Linked DNA regions of Ovis aries. The protein of the gene in region 2 purifies or fractionates together with the protein of the main gene of each other region. This does not show direct contact. Links are inferred from orthologs where the notes say so. Each region holds a gene or a part of one and is shown on either strand. Other genes may lie near its edges.

Evidence for each region.
Region 1: the proteins of GSK3A (region 2) and AXIN2 purify together in Homo sapiens (affinity purification with mass spectrometry; 3 studies listed by BioGRID and IntAct, with this or other methods). This does not show direct contact. The link is inferred for Ovis aries from reciprocal best matches to the Homo sapiens genes GSK3A and AXIN2.
Region 3: the proteins of GSK3A (region 2) and FRAT1 purify together in Homo sapiens (affinity purification with mass spectrometry; 4 studies listed by BioGRID and IntAct, with this or other methods). This does not show direct contact. The link is inferred for Ovis aries from reciprocal best matches to the Homo sapiens genes GSK3A and FRAT1.

Annotation. Positions count from the first base shown.
Region 1 is NC_056064.1:61,410,891-61,417,301, reverse strand, and holds part of AXIN2 (axin-2), read left to right. Parts: intron 1-2,076; coding exon 2,077-2,217; intron 2,218-2,312; coding exon 2,313-2,830; intron 2,831-2,929; coding exon 2,930-3,121; intron 3,122-3,400; coding exon 3,401-3,637; intron 3,638-4,171; coding exon 4,172-4,267; intron 4,268-5,384; coding exon 5,385-5,552; intron 5,553-6,411. UniProt on the Homo sapiens protein: Inhibitor of the Wnt signaling pathway. Down-regulates beta-catenin. Probably facilitate the phosphorylation of beta-catenin and APC by GSK3B.
Region 2 is NC_056067.1:50,610,857-50,617,367, reverse strand, and holds the start of GSK3A (glycogen synthase kinase-3 alpha), read right to left. Parts: upstream 3,331-6,511; 5' UTR 3,203-3,330; coding exon 2,920-3,202; intron 1,191-2,919; coding exon 1,003-1,190; intron 1-1,002. UniProt on the Homo sapiens protein: Constitutively active protein kinase that acts as a negative regulator in the hormonal control of glucose homeostasis, Wnt signaling and regulation of transcription factors and microtubules, by phosphorylating and inactivating glycogen synthase (GYS1 or GYS2), CTNNB1/beta-catenin, APC and AXIN1.
Region 3 is NC_056075.1:18,393,777-18,400,287, reverse strand, and holds FRAT1 (proto-oncogene FRAT1), read right to left. Parts: upstream 3,462-6,511; 5' UTR 3,284-3,461; coding exon 2,453-3,283; 3' UTR 880-2,452; downstream 1-879. UniProt on the Homo sapiens protein: Positively regulates the Wnt signaling pathway by stabilizing beta-catenin through the association with GSK-3. May play a role in tumor progression and collaborate with PIM1 and MYC in lymphomagenesis.

The DNA.
Region 1 (6,411 bases), on a different chromosome or scaffold from region 2:
GGTGTAATCCCGTTCGGGGGACCTCAAGATGAGCTGTGCGACCCTCTGCATTTTCTCAACAAAGAGTTCTCTAAGACAAAGAAACCAAGACAAGAGGTTCCTTCCCAGAAACCAGGCCCCAAAGGGCGGAAGGTGATGCACGCTTTGCGTTGGGCGGCTCTGTTGGCTCCTTCTCCGCAGAGACCAGAGCCGCGCTGGGCGCCTCGTAGGTCTCCCTGAGCTCCTGTTGACTGACTGAACCAGGAGGCTGGGGGAGTCTGCCTCCTGCCGGGGCCAGCTACACCCCGGCGCCCTCTCCTCGTGTGGCCCGCCTGGCGTTGTCACCTCGGCCAGTGTTCCTCTTTGTACTCGACCATTTTTGCTCCAAAGCCCTGGAGATCGGTTATCCCTCCTGTTTCTAGCCGCAGAACATGGCTTAGTACCTGCCTGTTGAATCTGCAGTCAGTGTTTGAGGATCCATGAGCGCTTCTTCCTGCTTGAGACGAGAGGCCAGCGGGGTGTGGAGGGCTTTTCAGGGACGTCCCTGATGATTTCCAGGTCCTGGAGGGCAGCCAGCCCCCGGCCCCGCAGGGGGCCACCCTACCCCGTCCAACTGCTCCCTGGGGAAGGGAAGAGAGTGCCCAGCTCAGAGCAGCATCTGTTTCTGAGTCCTTCCTGCCAGCCGCAGAGAACCCAACTGGCCCACTGGTTATGTCGCATGCAGAAAATGAGCTCATCGAATTGCTGGTCCCACGTTGCATTGGTGTGTTCAGACTGTTGCAACTCCTCTCCAAAGCTCCTGGAACAATCCAGGGCACTCAGATTTGTGAAAATAGCCGATGAAGATGGCTTTTCTGGGGACCTCTAGCACCCCCCTTCTCAACCACCGTCTCTTCACCCCAGTACAACAGTATCCATGAGATGTATATGTTTTGATTTGGTAGAGCCAGGGTGCTGGGGGAGTTTTGTGCTTTTAAGAAAAGTTCTGTTGCCCAGGCTTAAATTACGTGATTTTTGTCCTGGGGAGTGCAAACCGGTCTTCTTCAGCAGGCGGCACTTTGCTGGGGTGTGGGGGGCCTGCATGGAGCCAGCCTGGGGGAGAATGGCAGCTGCCTCCAGATGGGCCCACCCCTCCTGGGGTCCTGTGGCTCAGCGGTTGCCGTGGTGAGGCTCAGTTCTTTGCTGAGGTGGGGAGATGCTGGCCTCTGCAGGTTGGCTTTCTGTTGCCCTCCTCCCCCTCAAGAAAAGGGCCAAAGCAGGAGGGAAGTGGGGGGAGGAGGCAGAAGGACCAGGGGTGGGAGTGGGGGGCTCAGGACGACAGGAGGGGACAGAGGGCCGGCGGCGGGGGTTCTCTGTCGGCTGCTCTTGGCAGTGTTCTGGTGCCTTTTTATATTCTGTGCTTGACTTGGAGATGTTCCCTTTTCCCTTGATAGATCAGCTTCAGGCAGCCAAGCTCAGCAGTGTTCTGCTACTAGCCTGCAGCAGCTTTCTTCATTTTCTGTACAAAGAGATGGCAGGAGGGGTGGGCCAGAACGAGGGGGTGGGTGCAGTGTTAGACAACACCGCCTCAAAGGTGCACAGTGTGCGGCCAGGGAAGAAATTGCCGCTGCTTCTGATCTGGGCCCTGTGACTCCTTTTTTTTTCTTTTGCTCCCCCCTACCTCCCTTCCAATCTTATTTTTTCACATTCCCAACTCCCTTTCTGTTTAGGCTCATACTTTTTATTCCTTGAGTTGCGCTCTCCCCTCCCCATTGCAGAGAGCTGCCTTTTTTTTTTTTTTTTTTTTTTTTTTTGATGTTTGACAACAGTCTTTGAAGATTTTCAACTTCAGAGTAGCGACTGATGGGCTGGTTGTACTACAGAGGGAGCGCGCGCGGCCTCTGGGAGTGCGACCAACTGCTTGTGCCCACGGCGCACGGCCGGGGACCGTGGCTCTCCATGAGGCCGCGGTGCCGGCACATAAAGCGGCCATGCCACCCAGGCCCCGCTCCGCCCAGTCTCCGCGCGGCTGTGGACCTGGCCGCATCCCGACACCCGTTCCCCGGCCCTGGCAGCCTCCTGACGGCAAGCATCCCGTCTCCTTCCCGCGCCCCGCAGAGAACCCACCGGCTGCCCAAGGAGATGACCCCCGTGGAGCCTGCCGCCTTCGCGGCCGAGCTCATCGCCCGGCTGGAGAAGCTGAAGCTGGAGCTGGAGACGCGGCACAGCCTGGAGGAGCGGCTGCAGCAGATCCAAGAGGTGGGCGCCATGCCGCCCCTGCCCCCGTATTAGCGGGGGAGGGGGCTCCTGCTGACCGGGCCACCTCCCCCAACCAACGCTGCCTTCCTTTCCAGGATGAGGAAAAGGAGGGCACGGAGTTGGCACCGGGCTCACGGGAGGCAGGGCCCGCGCCGCACCCCCTTTGCCTCCTGCCGTCTAGCAGCTACGAGGAGGACCCGCAGACCATCCTGGACGACCACCTGTCCAGGGTCCTCAAGACCCCCGGCTGCCAGTCCCCGGGCGTGGGCCGCTACAGCCCCCGCGCGCGCTCCCCCGACCACCACCACCGCCACCACCTCCAGCCGCACCGCGCGCTGCCCCCGCCCGGGGGCCCCCTGCCCCCCGCCGCCGTCCCGGCCAGCTGCTCCCTCCTCGGGGCCAGGGGCTTCGTGAGCAGGCAGGCCACAAAGCACGTCCACCACCACTACATCCACCACCACGCAGGCCCCCGGACCAGGGACGAGGCGGAGGCCGAGGCCGCCCCACGTGCGCGCTGCCCCTGCCCGGTCCCCGCGGGCGCCGACTTCTCCTGCTGCGCCAAGTGCAAGAGCCACCCCGGGGTCCCCGAGCCCCCGGGGGCCGCCCAGCTTGGGTGAGCGACCCTGTGCGAGGGTGGGGCGGCGGCAGGGAGGGGCGGGGCTGCGGCGGCGCTCGCGGGGGCTGAGATGGACGCGCTCCTCTGTCCCACCAGCAGCCGGGGCGGCGTCCCCCCCAGACGAAGCGCGAGAGGCTCCGAGCCGGGCCCCACGGTGCCGGCCAGGGAAGCCGGGGCTCCCGGAGGAGCGGGGTCCCTGCAGCCGCCTGGGGAGGAAGGAGACAGGGCTCAGGTCGTGTGGCAGTGGGTGCTGGAGAGCGAGCGGCCCGGCAAGCCCAAGCCCCACAGGTGAACCGCGGCGCGGCCCGCCCCGGGGCGTGGGGGTAGGCTGTCCGGGTGGCCGGAGCGAGGGGGCGGGGGTTGCCGCCCTCCCAGCGCCAGCAGCTGCGCTGAGACCGCAGAAGTGCCGCGTCCTGGCAGCGCCAGGTGGTGGTATGGCCCAGCTATCTTTTTTTTCTTTTTGCTCTCCGGAGGCAGGATGGAGAGCTCGCTGGTGGAGTCACATTTTCCAGTTTTCCTAACCGCATTTCTTACCCTCGGTTTCCTCTCTCCACCTTTCTCCTCCAGCGCCCAGAGCACCAAGCGGGCCTACCCCACGGAGTCGGCCCGCATGTCCCCAGCAGAGCGGGCCGGCCGCCACCACCTGTGGGGGGGCGGCACTGGGCACCCCCGCACTGTTCCTCGGGCCCACCCAGCTTGCACCCAGGACTCCGCGGTGCCTCCCCTGACCCCACCTAACACCCTGGCCCAGCTGGAGGAGGCGTGCCGCCGGCTGGCTGAAGTGTCCAAGCCCCCAAAGCAGCGGTGAGTAGACAGGCTGCAGCAGTCAGGGGCGGGGCAGGCCAGAGGACCCATGCCTTGAGGTCCAGCTGCTCTGACAGGCTCACTGGGATCTGGCCAGTCGTGCCTGCAAGAAAGAGAAGGAATCTCTGAAATTCCTTGCAAATCCCATTCCTTGAGTGTCCCAGTCAGTGGGGGTTGTGAGATGAGCTCCAAGGCGCTGTGACCCGCTGGGGATCCAGTACCTGCAGCCCTCGGCCTGGGTGGGCCGCGTGTAGTCCCGGGGGCCCAGGGCTCAGCATGGCTGGGCCAGGCCCGGGGGCTCCTGTCCACACAAGGCCTGGGTGGGACTCCGCCCAGGGGGCGTTGGAAGCCGGGGAGGCTGGCTCTCTGTTTTCCCTTGGCCCCAGGGATCCCTCTCAACCTTTCCTGGCCCTGGGAGTTCCTGTCCACACAAGGCCAGGGTGGGGCTCCGCCCGGGGGACGTCGGAAGCAGGGGAGGCTGGCTCTCTGCTTTCTCTTGGCCCCAGGGATCCCTCTCAACCTTTCCTGTGTTAGGTGCTGTGCGGCTGGCCAGCAGAAGGACAGGAGCCACCCGGGCCCTGGGATGCCGGGCGCCGCGCCCTTCTCCAGCCCAAGCCCAGCTTTGGAAGAGTGAGTGTCTTGGCCTGGTGACGCTGAGGTCTGCCCAGAGGCTTTGTGTTTTCAGGGTATTCATGTCAGGGGTTGCAATTTTTGAAAACTTTTTTAGTCTATAAAATCATCTTGATTTTAACATCCAAGACAAGGAATTGTAAACCCAGATGGTGCCATAGATCAGAGTCTGGAAAACCCCTGTCCAAGAGGAACGCATGGTGACTCGTAGTAACACGCGGGTGTCCTCTTCGTGAAGTGGTGGTTGGCTCAAGGTCACAAGCTGAGAGCGAAGCCTTTAGCTTCTGGTTAGAGAACCCCAAACACAGATGGAAAAGCTGTTCCCATCCACCTGGAAGGCTAATGGGTTGAAAACGTTTGCGTGGAACTGAGCAGGAAGGCGCTTCTCCCCGGTTGCAGAGACAGACGAAGGGCCCATCCTTGCTGTCTTGCAGGGGCCGGTGTTGGGAGTGGCGGGAAAAGCATCTCCCCGCCGATGCCCCAGTTCCTGTTGTCAAGTTACGCTCCTGTGACCGGACAGGGAAGCCAGGCTTCTTTTGGTTCCGGGACGGTGTGTGAAAAGAGTGGTCAGCTGCTGAGATCTGAAGTGGTTGAAATCATTCACCTGTCCGTCCTTAGCTGCTCTATCATGAGTAGTGTTCAAAGAGAGAAAAAAACCTCTACAGTGTTTTAATTGGTTGACCTTAAGTTGACCAGGTGTTTGGGCCTATTGCGCTTTTTTTAGCCATTCTGCAAAAACTCAGAAGTTGCAGTGACTGAGGGCTGATCCCCACACACCCCCACCATGGGCCCTGGCGTTCCGAGTTCACGCCATCCCTGGGCAGAGGCAGAAACCACAGACCCTGGCTGGGGCGAGTGTGGTGTCCTGGTCACTCTGGGAGGGTTCCTATCTTTGGAGGCAAGTTCCCTGTGATGCCCCCCAATGGACATGGCTCCGTCCTCCCATTGGGCGGCACACACACACCTGTGTGCCCTGCACTGATGACCTTGCCCAGGGCCCTCGGCACACACAGCTACAGCCTCACCTCTGAAGATACAGTTTGCAGACCTCCTGGGGGTGTGTGCGCTCTGACCGCTTTCAAATGCTGGACCTGTGGCTTTTCCATCTCATTTTCAGCCACAAGGAGCCCAGGAAGCTGGCAGGGATGCACGCGCTCCAGGCCAGTGAGCTGGTGGTCACTTACTTCTTCTGCGGGGAGGAGATCCCCTACCGGCGGATGCTGAAGGCCCAGAGCCTGACCTTGGGCCACTTTAAGGAGCAGCTCAGCAAAAAGGGAAACTACCGGTAAGCATCCTGTGGCTTTCCTCTGCTCCAGAGTCGGTTTGCTCAGAACCAAGAGCCAGGGTCACCTCTCAGCCCCCAGACCTGCAGGGGCCAGGTGGGCGGGCAACCTGGGGCTTTGCTCTGTCTCCTTTCCTCCGACTCCCCCACCCCTGCCCCTCCTAGAGATAGCACAGGGCTGGGCGGGCTTTCTCTAGCAGGAGAAGTGGACTCAGGAGCCAGGGGACAGCTGGCTTTTTCAGAAGAGCCGGGCAGGAGCCTGAAAGGGAGAGCGTGGGGAGAACAGAGGGGTCGGACAGACTGATGAGGAGGCTGAAAGGCGGCCCTTGGGCAGGTCCGGGAGAGACTGCCACCCATGACACGTGGCATCGTGCCCCCTCAGCTCTGGGTCCCAGGTAGTGTGAGGCAGGGTGGCCTGAAGCGGACAAAGGGCAGGACCTGTGGGTGGGTGTGGGGGCACAGGGCTGCCCACTCTTCCTGCCAGGACCTGGGGAAGACGCCCTGCCGTCCCCCCAGGCCTCTCCCCACCTACAGGGTGCAGACCCCGCCCCTGGCGTGCCAGCCCCAGGCGTCCTTGGTTACTTTTCTCTTGCCTTGTCTGGTTCATCCAGAGCCCTAGCTGGCCTTGTCGGCTGCCTCCATCCCAGAGGAGTATGCGGGTTGTGTCCAGCTGTGTCCTGGGTGCCATGTGCAGGGCCAGGACGAGGAGCGGGGAGCAGTCAGGGGGCACGGGTCAGAGAGGAGCCCAGCTGGGGCGCAGAAGCTACCGCCCCAGTGCCCCCCCGAGCGAGGGAGGGAGTGCGAGAACTTTAGCATCCCTTAGCAAGTGGCCTGATGGGTGAGCCCACCTCCCGGGCCCGAG
Region 2 (6,511 bases):
TTCAGCTTCTCTTGAAAATCACATGATGTGGCCACATGAGGCCCACTTCCCTGCCTGGCAAGAGCAACACTAGACAGGGAGGGGTCATCCAGATGCCCCTAGTCCCCACGCCGCTCCATGCTTTCACGGAAGGCATCTGGGCGCTCGGATCCCGAGTCCTGGCCTCCAGGCTTCTCATCCTCACCTTCCCAGTAGAGATCCAGCCTCAGCCTCTTCCCACAAGACCAGTCTTAGCGCTCTTGCCTCTCCTGTTCCCCCCTGGGGCCTCAGAGGCCCCCATCCTCAGACTCCTCTCACTTTCGGGACTTACCTATAATCAAATTCTGACCGGCGCCCTGGAGGAAGACCTGCCCCTGAGAGTCCTCACTGCCCGAGACCTAAACTCTGACCTGGTTTCTTCAGCCCAGGCTCAGTTTCTCCTACGTCCCGACTATACAGGATCCAAAGGGCCTCTACCAGCTCACAGGGCACTATATATGAATGAGGAAAAGGACCCCTTCCTCAGGGGTGCCTGGGCCCCACACCCAGGCATCTGCAGCACAGGCGGGATTTCTCCCAGCAAGTGCCAGACCCTGGGGGCAGAGCCTGACCTTCGCAGACAGAATTAGCCCCACCAGCTTCCTTTCTCTTCTGGGTAGCAGAGTAACTCAGTGGTTAAGGTGAAGTGCTTGGGAATCAGATTCTAGACTTGACCTTGTGCAATTCTCTTATCTGAATCTCAGTTTCCAGCTTCTGCTTGCTTAGAATAGGAGTAACAACAGCACCTACCCTCAGAGAATCTTTGCGCTGTTAAACTCGCCTACAAAGCACTTACGAAGAACAAGAGCCCAATAAAAGTCAGCTCTGGGTTCTCCTGGAATCCACATCCCCACACAGCTCACTCTCTTCTCCTCTGGCCCATGCTCAGACCCCCTGTACAAACCCAAGTCCAGCACTCTTGCTGGAGTTCCCCCACCAGTCATGTGCAGTCAAACCTCCTGATCCCCGTTCCCCGCAAGCTACCTTGAACCTCTTGTCCTGGAGAACCTTCTTGATGGCCACCAATTCCCTGGTGTCTGCCAGCCGTGCCTGGTACACGACCCCAAATGAGCCACTGCCAATCACTTTGATGTCTGTGTAAGCCACCTCCTGGGAGCGCTCCGGGCCTTGGCCTAGAGTGGCTACCACTGTGGTTACCTTCCCACTGTCACCTGGGGAGCAAAGGGAACACACAATCTACTGACCTTTTCCCTCGGGCCACCACCCCATCCTGGGGCTGTGAGAGGGCAGGGAGTCTCTACAGGAAGCTTATGGGCGGGGGACGGTCTTTGTCCCTCCCCCATCTTCAAAGGTGGCTCCTAGATGTCTCCTTTCCCCCTCTTCCCTTCAGGGAACCCCAAATCCTGACTCCTCCACAGGGGAGAATACTGACACATAAAACCTCTTGCTGTGCCAGGGTTGGTAACCTCTAATTTCCACTTCTGGTGAGCAGCAAATTACTGGTCCCTCCTGATGTGAGGAGGCACCACCACTCCCAGATGTTGAATCCATCCATGATGAGAGCTAACTGCCTTCTGCTCCCTCCTCTCTAGGGAGAGCCTGACCTAACCTCTTCCACTTGAGAGCAGGAACCCTGAGGTACTTCTATGTCAGTAAAGCCCTAACCTTTCCCACAACTTGGGGGACAGTGATCTCTTAAGTCCTCCCTAAGTGCAGCTGGTAACTTCACCACTGGTTTCTGGTGACAGAAAAGGATGACTCTTCCCGTAGGGAGTGCCAGCGCCCTAACTCTCACTTTTGGGAGACAATTAGCTCTTACCCAAATACTCTGGGGCTAGAAAAAAGCACTGGCCTGACCTCACCTGTGAGGTTCAGAGCCCCAGACCCCATCGTGTATGTAACTGGTCCCTAATGGACGAACACTTAATAGTGAGAATGGTGAACCTGATCTCTATCATCAAGGGTTTATCCTAGCCTCAGTCCTTTAAAGGAAATTCCCAAAACATTCTGCGATGGCAGCAAAAGTTGGTGGCATTCTTGGAGGACAGGGATCCCTCTTCTTGCGGTAACTGGTGAAAGGTTCCCCAAAGAAAAGAAGTCAGTGATGAATCAGATCCATTCAGAGGGGCCAGTGAGGGAGAGGATCCTATATAGCTATTTATCCAGAGTCAATGACATCATACATCAGAATAATGAAATGGGTATAACTTCACATCCTTATTCTAGGGGAGGGACTGGTAACCGCCCCTGCCCCCATTGCGTTTTCTGTGAAAGGAAACCCTTCAAGAAAGACATCTTTTCTTGAATATTAGTGACTATGAACTTGGTCTGAAAGGTATGCTGACTTCCAATCTGTCCTCAAGAAGCAGGAATCATTAATTTCCACCATTGGGTGTACAATTCTACATATTATGGGCAGATAGTGTTTTAAAAGGGAATCTGGATATCAGATTTGGAAAGCCCTGGCTTTGAGGCCACAGCAAGCCCAAATCCCTGCTTCTAAGTGATACTCAAATCCCCATGCTCTAAAGGGGAGCAAATTCAGATCCCTTCTCTGGGTGGTGGTGATCTTATTCGTGTTCTCTTGAGAAACAATAACCCTTGAGCCCCATTTGCAAGCGACAATGACCCCTGATCTGTTCTCGAATGGATAGCAACATCAGATTCCTGTTTTTAAGGTTCACGGACCCAAGACTTCGGGACTGGAAGAACAAGAACCTGTGACCCTGTCTTTTGGAGGATTACTAATTCTAATTCTACACTCCAAGTGATGGCAACCCCCCCGAATCCCTCTCTCCGGGAGGGGGTAGATCTCAGATCCCAGTTTGGGAAGGCACAGTGACCTCGAGCTCCTCCCTGAGCATAAAGAAGAACCTGATCGACGTCTGAGTGGCTTCAGGGATCCGATCTCCACCCGCCACGGGCACCGCTAGTACTCACGGCCCAGCTTCACTCCGGGCGGCGGGAAGCTGGTGCCCGCGCCGGGGCCGCCGCTGCCTCCTCCGCCGCTGCCGCTGGGGCCACCCCCGGAGCTCGAGGCCCCCACGCCTCCGCCCATGGCTCCGACTGACGTCTTCCCGCCGCCGCTGCCGCCTGGGCCAGAGGCCGAACCCCCCGGGCCGCCGCCGCCGCCGCCGCCTCCGCCGCCTGGCTCCGCGAACGAGCTGGTCCGCGCCCGGCCCGAGCCCCCAGGGCCGCCGCCCGAAGGCGCGCCACCGCTCATGGCGCCGAGCGCAGGCCCAGGCCGCGGGGCTCGGGCTGCCCGGGCTGCCCCCGCCGCTGCCGCCGCCGCCGCCTCCCCCGGGCTCCGGCCTCTTCCAGGCCGCGCCGCTCGGGCTCCGGCTCCGGCCCAGCGCCCGCCGCGGGGCACGCTGGGAGATGCAGTCCGCCGGCCCTACGCGACGCCGTCGCCGCTCTAGGCCCTCACAGAGAGCCGCGTGGCACGCTGGGAAATGGAGTCCACAAAGACCTCAGAGATGGCTGCGGCGATGATGAGTCTCGCTGCACCTCGGAAAATAGAGTCCCGGGCAATAAGTTGGACAATTGCCCACAACGGACTCTGAAGCACTTTCTGAAGCAGAGTCAGAGTCGCACACTCACTCCATTGCGGCAACCGCGCGTCCCTAGGTGTGCCTCAGAAATGTAGTCTCAGGCAACTCCGTCAGTGAGCTGTATAGGTCCGATGCACTCCGGGAAACGGAGTCCAATCGCTCACTTAATTTATTGGTTGTATGTCGACTGGTGCCAAGTGCACTCTGGGAAATTGAGTCGGAGTCGGTGGACCCGCCGCTATCGGGCTGTGAGGCAAGCCGGGAAATGTAGTCGTCGCCACGCCCTCACCGCATTGCGGGTATAAAGCTACTTCCAAAGCACGCCGGGAAATGGAGTCCCATGTGATTCCTAAGCTCCAAGTGGATATTGCAGTTCCGGAGATAGGCTAGGAAATGGAGAGGCAGAGCATTCCTCCACCCTCGTTCGCTAGGCCGCAATCCCTGCTGGGAAATGTAGTCAACACCGAGGCTTCAGGGTAGTTGCTACAGCGAGCCTTGTGTCTTCTGGGAAATGGAGTTCAAGGCGGCCTTACCATTGACTGAGGGGGCGGGGTCCACCGTAATCCTGAAGCATGCTGGGGAATAGTCCAGACCGGATCCCGACCCTTTGTGAGAAGACAGCTGAGGTTTGCCGGAAAGAGCGTGAGCGAAAGGGGAAAGGCAGTCGCCTAAAAGAGACTGCGGAAAGTTTCAACGCCTCCTCTCCTGATGCCAGGTCCCAAGAAAGAGCCGAAGTCAATCAGGGACTACTGGAAAATGGAGTGCAAACACTCCCAAGTTTCCACAAATCCGGAAGGAAAACCCTCCCCGCCAACGATTTAGGAAACAAAGTTTCCGGTGGATTTTCAAGACAATACAGTCTTCGGATATTGTCTAGCTTTTCCTAACAATGTACGTTGCACCTGGAGGCTGAACTGAAGGTTGAAAAAAATGAAAACACAATTTATCTTGAACATCCCATTAAGCTCTTTGAATCCGCAGGCTTCCTAAATTACAGGATGCTGGAAGGCCCAAAAGAAGGAAGCCAGCTGCTAGGAGTAGCCTCGCGTTTTGTGCTCGCATTATGTTGCCACCACTTATCGATTAATACCCGGAAGGACGGCAGTCCAAAGCGCGCTGGGAAACGGAGTTCGTTTGAGTGTGTGTGTGTGTGTGTATACAGAGCTCGTGTGAGTGTGTGCTGGGAAATAAGAGTTCATGTGAATGTGTCGTCTGTGTGTTCCGGAAGTATTTGTAACTGAAATGAAGTCACCCTCTTCTCCTGCCTCGTGGAATGACGGGAAATGGAGTTCTAGGCTTCACTTTAATCAGATCCTGTGATCACTCTAATTGCCCTGCCCTTTGAAAAAAGTCTCGTCCAAGCTGTAGTTGAGTGCAATTCCCAGCGGACTCCTGGGGCAGGACGGATAGTAACTCTGAAGCCTTTCGTACTACATTAACCAGAAGGCAAAGCACAGTCACACTTCCGCTCTCTTCGCAATGAATTCGGCTACATCACTGCATAGTCCAGAGCGGGTGCTTCTGGGAGTTGTAGTAATCCCTCAGTCAAACAGTTCCTGCTGCCCTCTGACGGCGGCTCGGAGTCCAAAAGCAAAAATCTGACTCAAACCCCAAATCCTGGGGAATTCTAACCTGGACCAAGAAGGCTTACAAGGGCAGGAGAACAGGGCGGAATAGTGGCGGTTACTTAACGGCCAGAACCCGTGGGAAGTGCGGAGTGGGCCGCACGTGTGCAACCGCCAGAGGATATGGGGGTCCGTGGGAGTCTGAGGGAGTCAGTCTGAAGGAATCTTATCCGAATGTCTGTACGAGATGAGAACGTTTGTTGAGGGGTGCTAGAGCGGTTTGTAAGTGGCTATGAGGGACCTCTGGGTGTCTAGAGATGCTCAGAGGTGTGAAGAGGTAAAATGGTCTTCCTGGAGAGGAGTGAAGTCAGAAAGGACTTGAGGTGTCTGTAAAAGATCTGTGGGAGACTGTGAGAAACTGATGGTGACTGAGGGTATTTCTGAGGGACCTGAAGAAGTGAGGGATGGTTGAGAAGCCTAAGAAAGGAATTTCTGGGGACTGAGGGAGTGCTGGGGATTATAGGTAAGGAGAGGGTCTCTGACAATATGAATTAATTGATGGAAGTGTCTTGAGATCTATAAAGAGCTTTTACTTGGTATCAGAGATCCTGAAAGATGTGGAAGGGAGCAAGGGTATGATCTTGCAGAAACTGAATAGATTTAGATGGGCCACTTTAAAGATGAGAGGAGCTGCTGGAGTTTTCAAGACCAGAGGCCACGTGTGACATCCCACTCAGCCAGAATTTGGGGAAAGAAATCTGGCTGCGCTGTGATCTGATCTGGAGAGGGGTTCTGGAGCTGAGCACCTTTGACTCCATGGTAGATCCGGTTTAGAGGTGCTCTGAAGGCACTAGAATCAGGTGCTGAGACCACTAGTCAGGGTCCTCCCTCCTACCTCAGTGATGACATCCCCCTCTCTCCATCACACCACCACCAACTTAGCTGCATCCATGTTGCCAGGAGACACGCCTCATCCCTACTTCCAGAAATAGCCCAGTGGCCCCCACCCCAAGGGAGTGACTTACATCACCCAGGAGAGGGAGCAGTTGCCTGCAGGCCTCCACGGGAGCCTCACAGTACCCCAGCCCTGGATCCTTTCTTCACTGCCAACGGGCATCATCAGGGACCACCCACCCAGGGCTGGCTTGAAATGAGGATGAAATGAGTGGGTAGGATTTTCCAGTTCCTTCCCCCCGAGTTGCATAGGGTGGGGTTTCATGGTGAAGCCATGCAAGACCAGGGCCCTCAATTATCTTAGCAGCTGTGTGGCCTTTGGAAAATTCCTTTCCCTCTCTGGGCCTCAGGCACCTCACCTGCACTGGATGGCTTGTGCTGTCTCAAAGCACCTCCAGCTTGGATACCTCCTCCTGATTCTTTCATCTCTGATTCAAGCTCTCCAACTTGGGCTTCTGGCTT
Region 3 (6,511 bases), on a different chromosome or scaffold from region 2:
ATCTGGAAAGCACTCTTCGGGTCATGGTGTGCCTTTGTTTCACGACAAACCAAGGATCCAGTTGATTGGCTACCAAGGGACAGTCCTGGGAAGGAAGGGGTAGGGACTAGACTATTTTATCTCCAGGATGTGCCAGGCACAAGGAACTTGTTTCCTTATCATCTCATTTCTCATCTTTTATACAAATGGGGCAACTGAAGCCCATAGAGGTTAAGCAACTTGTCCAAGGTTCCCATTTAATAAGGGGACTTGAACTCTGGATGTCCTGTTGTCCAGCATGGCTTCTTCCTGGAGGAAACAGACTGAAGTAACTGAGAACCAGAGGGATAGAGATGGGCTGTTGGGGAGAAACAGGGAGTAAATGTGCCAAGGGCAAAGAGAGGAGTCCCTTCATACCTGCCATCCCACCCCCAAGCAGCTTTCCCACTGCACATTTGCACCCTGAGTACCCCCTAACCAAGAGCTGACCCCAGCTCTTAAAGGGCCACCTTGTGGAACAAGTCCACTTAATAACCACAGTAGAAAGAAAAAAGCGATAAGCTTCCCAATCTGCAGTGACTGACTGATCTGATGTCCTTTGCTAATACAGTCAGGGGCAGCTTCTCCAGCACTGACTAGTAATCCAGAAGCTCTAAGGTTTTAGTGAATGGGACTGGTCCAAATCCTGACCTCACTTTCATTTAATTTCATGCCAGCACCAATACACACCCAGCCGGCGCAGACCCTAACTAGGGAGCTGCTCAGACACAAAGGCGCTCTAATTACCATCCACAAGCCAGGCCTGACAAGGATTTCAAGTGTTTTCATGTTTATGGAGATCAGAGAAATGTGTTCTGTGCATCTTTCCCACCGCTGACAAGTATAAAATAAAACCAAACAAAAAAACCAACACATTTATTAAAAACAGATATTTCAGTTAAGTTAACATCCTATAATCAGGATAGCCACAATTCCAGACACTCCGGTGCGAAGTGTAGGTATGTCAATAGCCACATCTGGATGACGAACATGCCATTGAATCTTATACAACTAAAACATCAACAATACCGTCTTAGAGCCTTTAGACTGCGTTAACATTGTTACGAGCACTTCACCAGGTTCACAATGGCAAATTCTGCAGCTTCTCCATTCGGAGGGTCACATTTTTTTACTCGGTTTCCTTCACTTACAAAGGCAAGCTGGCACGGCTGGGGGGAGGGGCAGAAGGAGGAAATCAACTCCATCTATCCAGGGAATTGCAGCTGTTATTGCAAATGGCCCCGGAGAGCCCATTATAAGCTGCTGCGCTAGGCTGTGTGTCCCTGGAGTGCCCCATCACGTGGTGTCTCCCAGCCCCCAGCCTGGGCCCCCAGGAGCGGCAGCGCCACCAGCTAGAGTTGGACAGCACAGCGGAGGGGAAGAGGAGGGACTCGAGGCCAGTTCTCCGGGCAGTTTCCGTCAAAGTCCAGGGCGCGGCCGCCCGCAGGAGGCACCGGCGCCTAGCACGTCGCCACCTCCCTCAACCCGCGGTGGCAGCGGTGCCCGTGTCCTCAGAAGACTCCAGCACTTGCAAAACACCGCGTACTACTCCGAGTACAGGCAGAACCGGGTGACTCTGCCCTGCTAGAGCCCCGCAATCTCGTTTGCGCCCAGGAAATGGTGACCTTGAACCCGAGGAGGGGCGGACAGACGGTGAAAATACACATTCAAGAGGACCGCGGGTTCGCTCCGCGCCGCGCCCTCACCTTTCCCCAGGACCTCTCACCCCCACGTCCAATTAGCATCCCAGGTGCTCCGCCTTCCCCCGCCGCTCTGAGAAACGCTGACAGTCGCAAAGCGGGTGGGGTGGGGGTTCGCAGAGAAAAGGTTACTTCTATTCAGTTCTCCAAAATGTCCTTTCACGGTGCCGCGTGTTTTATACCAAGTACAAGCACCTCAAAATACACGAGATAGGTGTTTTGTTTTTTTTTAAAGTGTCGTAAAATTTCAAGTCTGGCAGTTTGAGGTACTCCCTTAAATGATCTACAAATGTTCCCCTCTCCTAAAGTGAATCAGGAACCAGCCTTGGAAAGGTAAAGCAAGTAACTGGGGTCATCCTTGGCCTTTGGGCGCTCCGCGATCCTGTGAAGCATGGACTCCGGCCACGTGGTTGCCAGGTTAGAGTACCCGAGAGGCTGCGTGGAACCGCACGCTGCGCCACCAGGGCTGGTCACACCAGTGAGGAGTCCTACTGACTGCGAGCTTGGGGTGCACTCTGTAATCTGCCTTCAGTGGCACCAACGAAGTCAACCACGTCGGGGCCCTAGACCTCAGTTCCCGCGAACACATTCTCAATTTTTCGATTCCTCATCTTCATATAAGGTATTTTCCCGCTTCCGGAAGTGCGACTTCACCAGTTTGAGTAGAGATATAGCCCTCAGGGGAACCCCTTGCCCTTCAGGCAGAGGCTCGCGCAGTGGCCACTCTCGAGGTGTTAGCTGCCAGGGACTAGAACGCTGTCGCCTGTTCTGAGCTGCGCCCTCCTCCCGGACGCGCCGGGGTCGCTGCAGGCCGCGCGAGGGCTGCGGGGCGAAGGGGGCTCATGCACTGGGGCCGACAGAGGGCCCAGGAGCTGGCGCTGGGGGAGCTTTGCGTGCAACTGCAGCCGTCGCGAATGAAGCCTCCGCACCGCCTCCTTGATGAGGTTTCCCGAGAGCACGAGCTGCTGCAGGAGCCGGTGCGGGTCGTCGTCGCCGTTGCGGGCTGTAGGCTGTAGCCCGCGTCGGTGCTGGAGGCGGCGGGAGGCAGCGGCGTCCCGCAGCCAACCTCGCCGGCAAGGGCCCGACAGGGGCTGCGGGGAACCCCGTTTGTCTGCTCCCAAAGGCCCGTCAAGGCTGGGCTGAGGGGGCAATGGGGACAGCGCGCTGGGGCCTGCGGCGAGCTCCGCCACAAAGTAGGGCGCAGCCCGGCCCCGCACGCGGCCGCGGTCCCCGAGGGCGCAGCGCAAGGCCCCCGGGGGCGCCGGGCCCCCAGCCTCGACCGACGCGGCCGGTAGAAGCAGCGGCTGCGCTGGGGCCCGGGCCTTGTCCGCTCTCACCGCCGCCGGGGGCCGCGGGGGCTGCAGTGGCGGCCCCGGGGGCGCGCACGCGGAGGCAGGGCGGTCCTGCGCCGCGTCCAGCTGCAGCGTCTCGCCGATCTGGGCCACCAGCCGGTCCACCTCAACCGAGCCGCCCACAGTCACCGACTGTTCCAGCAGTAGGAAGCTGTCCTCCTCCTCCTCCTCTTCCTCGCCGGCTTCCTCTTCCTCCTCCCTCCGGCACGGCATGGCCCCCGGCGCCGGCACCCGGAGCTGTGCGGGGGTCGCTGGCGGCTCGGCTGTCCCGGGGGCTCGGTGGGCCGCGGCGAAGCCGGGCGCGGTGCCGAGGCCAAAGCCGGAGCCCGGGCGGACGCGGAAGCCGGAGCCCGCCAGGCACTCGCGCCGCGCGCCTGCAGCCGCGGGAGCCGGAATCCTACCGGCTCGGGTTGATTTGTAAACAATGGGTGACGTAGCCGCCGGGCCCTACCACCGGGCCGAGGAGGGGTGCTCCGTGCATTTGGGGGCCCGGGCAACCTCTGGGCAAGAGTCGTGGGTGAAGCCTTGCTCCCTCTGAGCTTTACAGCCCTGATTGCTGTCTGCGGGGGGAACTGGGGAGCCGATCTTCGCTCTCTGAGCCTGGCATGATTGACATATCCAGAAGATGGACACCGGCGTGGCCTCTGTTGGTTTCTTCCACACACAAGCACAGACACTTACACCCACACACCCACACACTTCTCTAGGCGCGTCAACGTGTCTGGTTTTGGCATTTACGCTTTTGAGGTTAGGGATGCCGGCATTTGGGAAGTGATGGCAGCGTGAGTGAGGCGAGTGATGGAGAGAAGGCGTCAGGCTAGGGATCTGTCTGGAGATTAGGGAAACGAGGCTGACAGATGAAAAGGAAGGGGACCCTGTGGTGCGATGGGGGTGGCGGATTGGAAATTGGCAAAGAAAAGCCACTGATTCGTGTTTTTTTGATCGGGAGCGTGGGTATGTGGGGACCTGGACAGTTACTGTAGAGGAGGTTGCTCGTCTTGGGGGGAGCGGCGAGCTAGAAAGTTCTTTTAAGAAGAATGACTCAACCCAGTAGGGGAGTATCCTTTCTGAAATGGGTAGCAGGAGAGGAAAACGGTCAGCTATTTGGATGGAAATGGAGACACGGCCATGGTAACCCTCCAAGATATCCTGGTTGGTTTAATGATTAACCAAGACTTCATTTTTTAAAAGAAAGAGAGATAGAGAACGATTCTTTATCATCGTATTGTTTGGAGTTTTAAAACCTGTATTAAAAATCCCAAACCCCTCAGGCCTAACTTCTGAACATTAATTACCCTTGTAGGTAGATTTTTGGTGGACCAACCTTTATAGGGGAGGGATAATAGCAGGGTGATTGAAATATTCCAAAATGGGATTATGGTAATGGTTGCACAACTCGGTAAATTTTCTAAAAATCATTTATTGAAAAAAATTTTATTTTTAATTTAATCATTGACTCAATGGACATGAGTTTGAGCAAATTCCAGGAGACAGTGAAGGGCAGGGAAGCCTGGTGTTCTGGAGTTCATGGGGTTGCAACGAGTTGGACATAACTTAGCGACTGAACAATTTCTTAGTGAAGAATAATTGCTTTACAATATTGTGTTGGTTTCTACCATACATCAACATGAGTCATCCATGGAGTGAGTGGAGTGAAGTCGCTCAGTCGTGTCCGACTCGCGACACCATGGACTGTAGCCTACCAGGCTCCTCCATCCATGGGATTTTCCAGGCAAGAGTACTGGAGTGGATTGCCATTGCCTTCTCCGTTTGAACCGGGGTCTCCCGCATTGTAGGCAGACGCTTTACCATCTGAGCCACCCATATGTCCCTTCCCTCTTGAACCTCCCTCCCGCTTCCCACCCCATCTCACTGCTCTACATTATCACAGAGTGATTTGAGTTCCCTGGGTCCTACAGCAAATTCCCAATGGCTGTTTTATATCTGGTAATGTATGTTTTCACGCTACTCTCTCCATTTGTCCCACTCTCTCCTTACTCCATGGGTCCAAAGTCTGTTCTCTATGTATGCGTTTCCATTGCTGCCCTACAAATAGATTCATCAGTACCATTTTTCTAGATTCCATATGTATGTGTTAATATACAATATTTATTTTTCTCTTTCTGACTTACTTCACTTTTTATAATAGGCTTTAGGTTCGTCCGCCTCATTAGAATGGACTCAAATGCGTTCCTTTTTATAGGTGAGTAATATTCCATTGTGTGTGCAATCCACAACTTCTTTATTCATTCGTCTGTCAGTGGACACTTAGATTGCTTCTGTGTTGCTTCCATGTCCTAGCTATTGTAAATAGTGCTGCAGTGAACGTTGGGGTACATGTATGTTTTTCAGTTATGGTTTCCTCGGGATATATGCCCAGTAGTGGGATTGCTGGGTCATATGGTAGTTTTATTCCTAGTCTTTTAAGGAATCTCCGTACTGTTCTATTAGTGGGTGTATCAATTTTCATTCCCACCAACAGTGCAAGAGGTTTCCCTTTTCTCCACACCCTCTTCAGCTTTTATTGTTTGTAAACTTTTAAATGATGGCCATTCTGACCGCTGTGAGGTGATACCTCATGGTAGTTTTGATTTGCTTTTCTCTAATAATGAGTGATGCTGAGTATCTTTTCATGTGTTTTTTAGCCATCTGTGTGTCTTTGGAGAAATGTCTGTTTAGGTCTTCTGCCCACTCTTTGATTGGGTTTCCCTGGTGGTTCAGAAGGTAAAGCATCTGTCTGCAATGCAGGAGACCCAGGTTCAAGCCCTGGGTTGGGAAGATCCCTTGGAGAAAGAAATGGCAGCCCACTCCAGTATTCTTGCCTGGAAGAGTCGGACACAACTGAGCGACTTCACTTCAGCTTTTTCATTAGGTTGTATGTTTTTCTGGCATTGAGTTGCATGAGCTGCTTGCATATTTTGGAGATTAATCCTTTGTCAATTGTTTCCTTTGCTATTATTTTCTCCCATTCTGAGGGTAAAAACTCATTTAATTGGCATGTAAATTACATGTCAGTAAAGCTGTTTTAACAATTAGCCACAAAGTACACACATACAAATACAGAAGCCAGGCAGTAGAGAGCTACTTTACAGTATGGAGCAGGGGACTAGCATTATTTGGAAAGAAACTGGAGCCTGGGGATCCAGGTAAGTAGAAACAAGGGTCTTGGTGGGCAGTTCCAAGATGCTAATAACAGGAGCAAACCTTTAGGGAGGAGTGGGATGGAGGGAAGAGGTGGGAAGTTTTGTCAAGTTTGGAGGGAAGAATGTGAGAATAAAGGAAGAGGCAGTATGAAGAAAGCGAATGAATTTTTAAATCTTGGAATTCTGGACTTCTACAGGGTGTCTTAAAAATCATCACCTTATTTCAGTGGATTCCTTAGGATTTTCTGTGTACAAGATCATATCTGCCGACAGATGAAGGTTTATTTCTTTCTTTCTA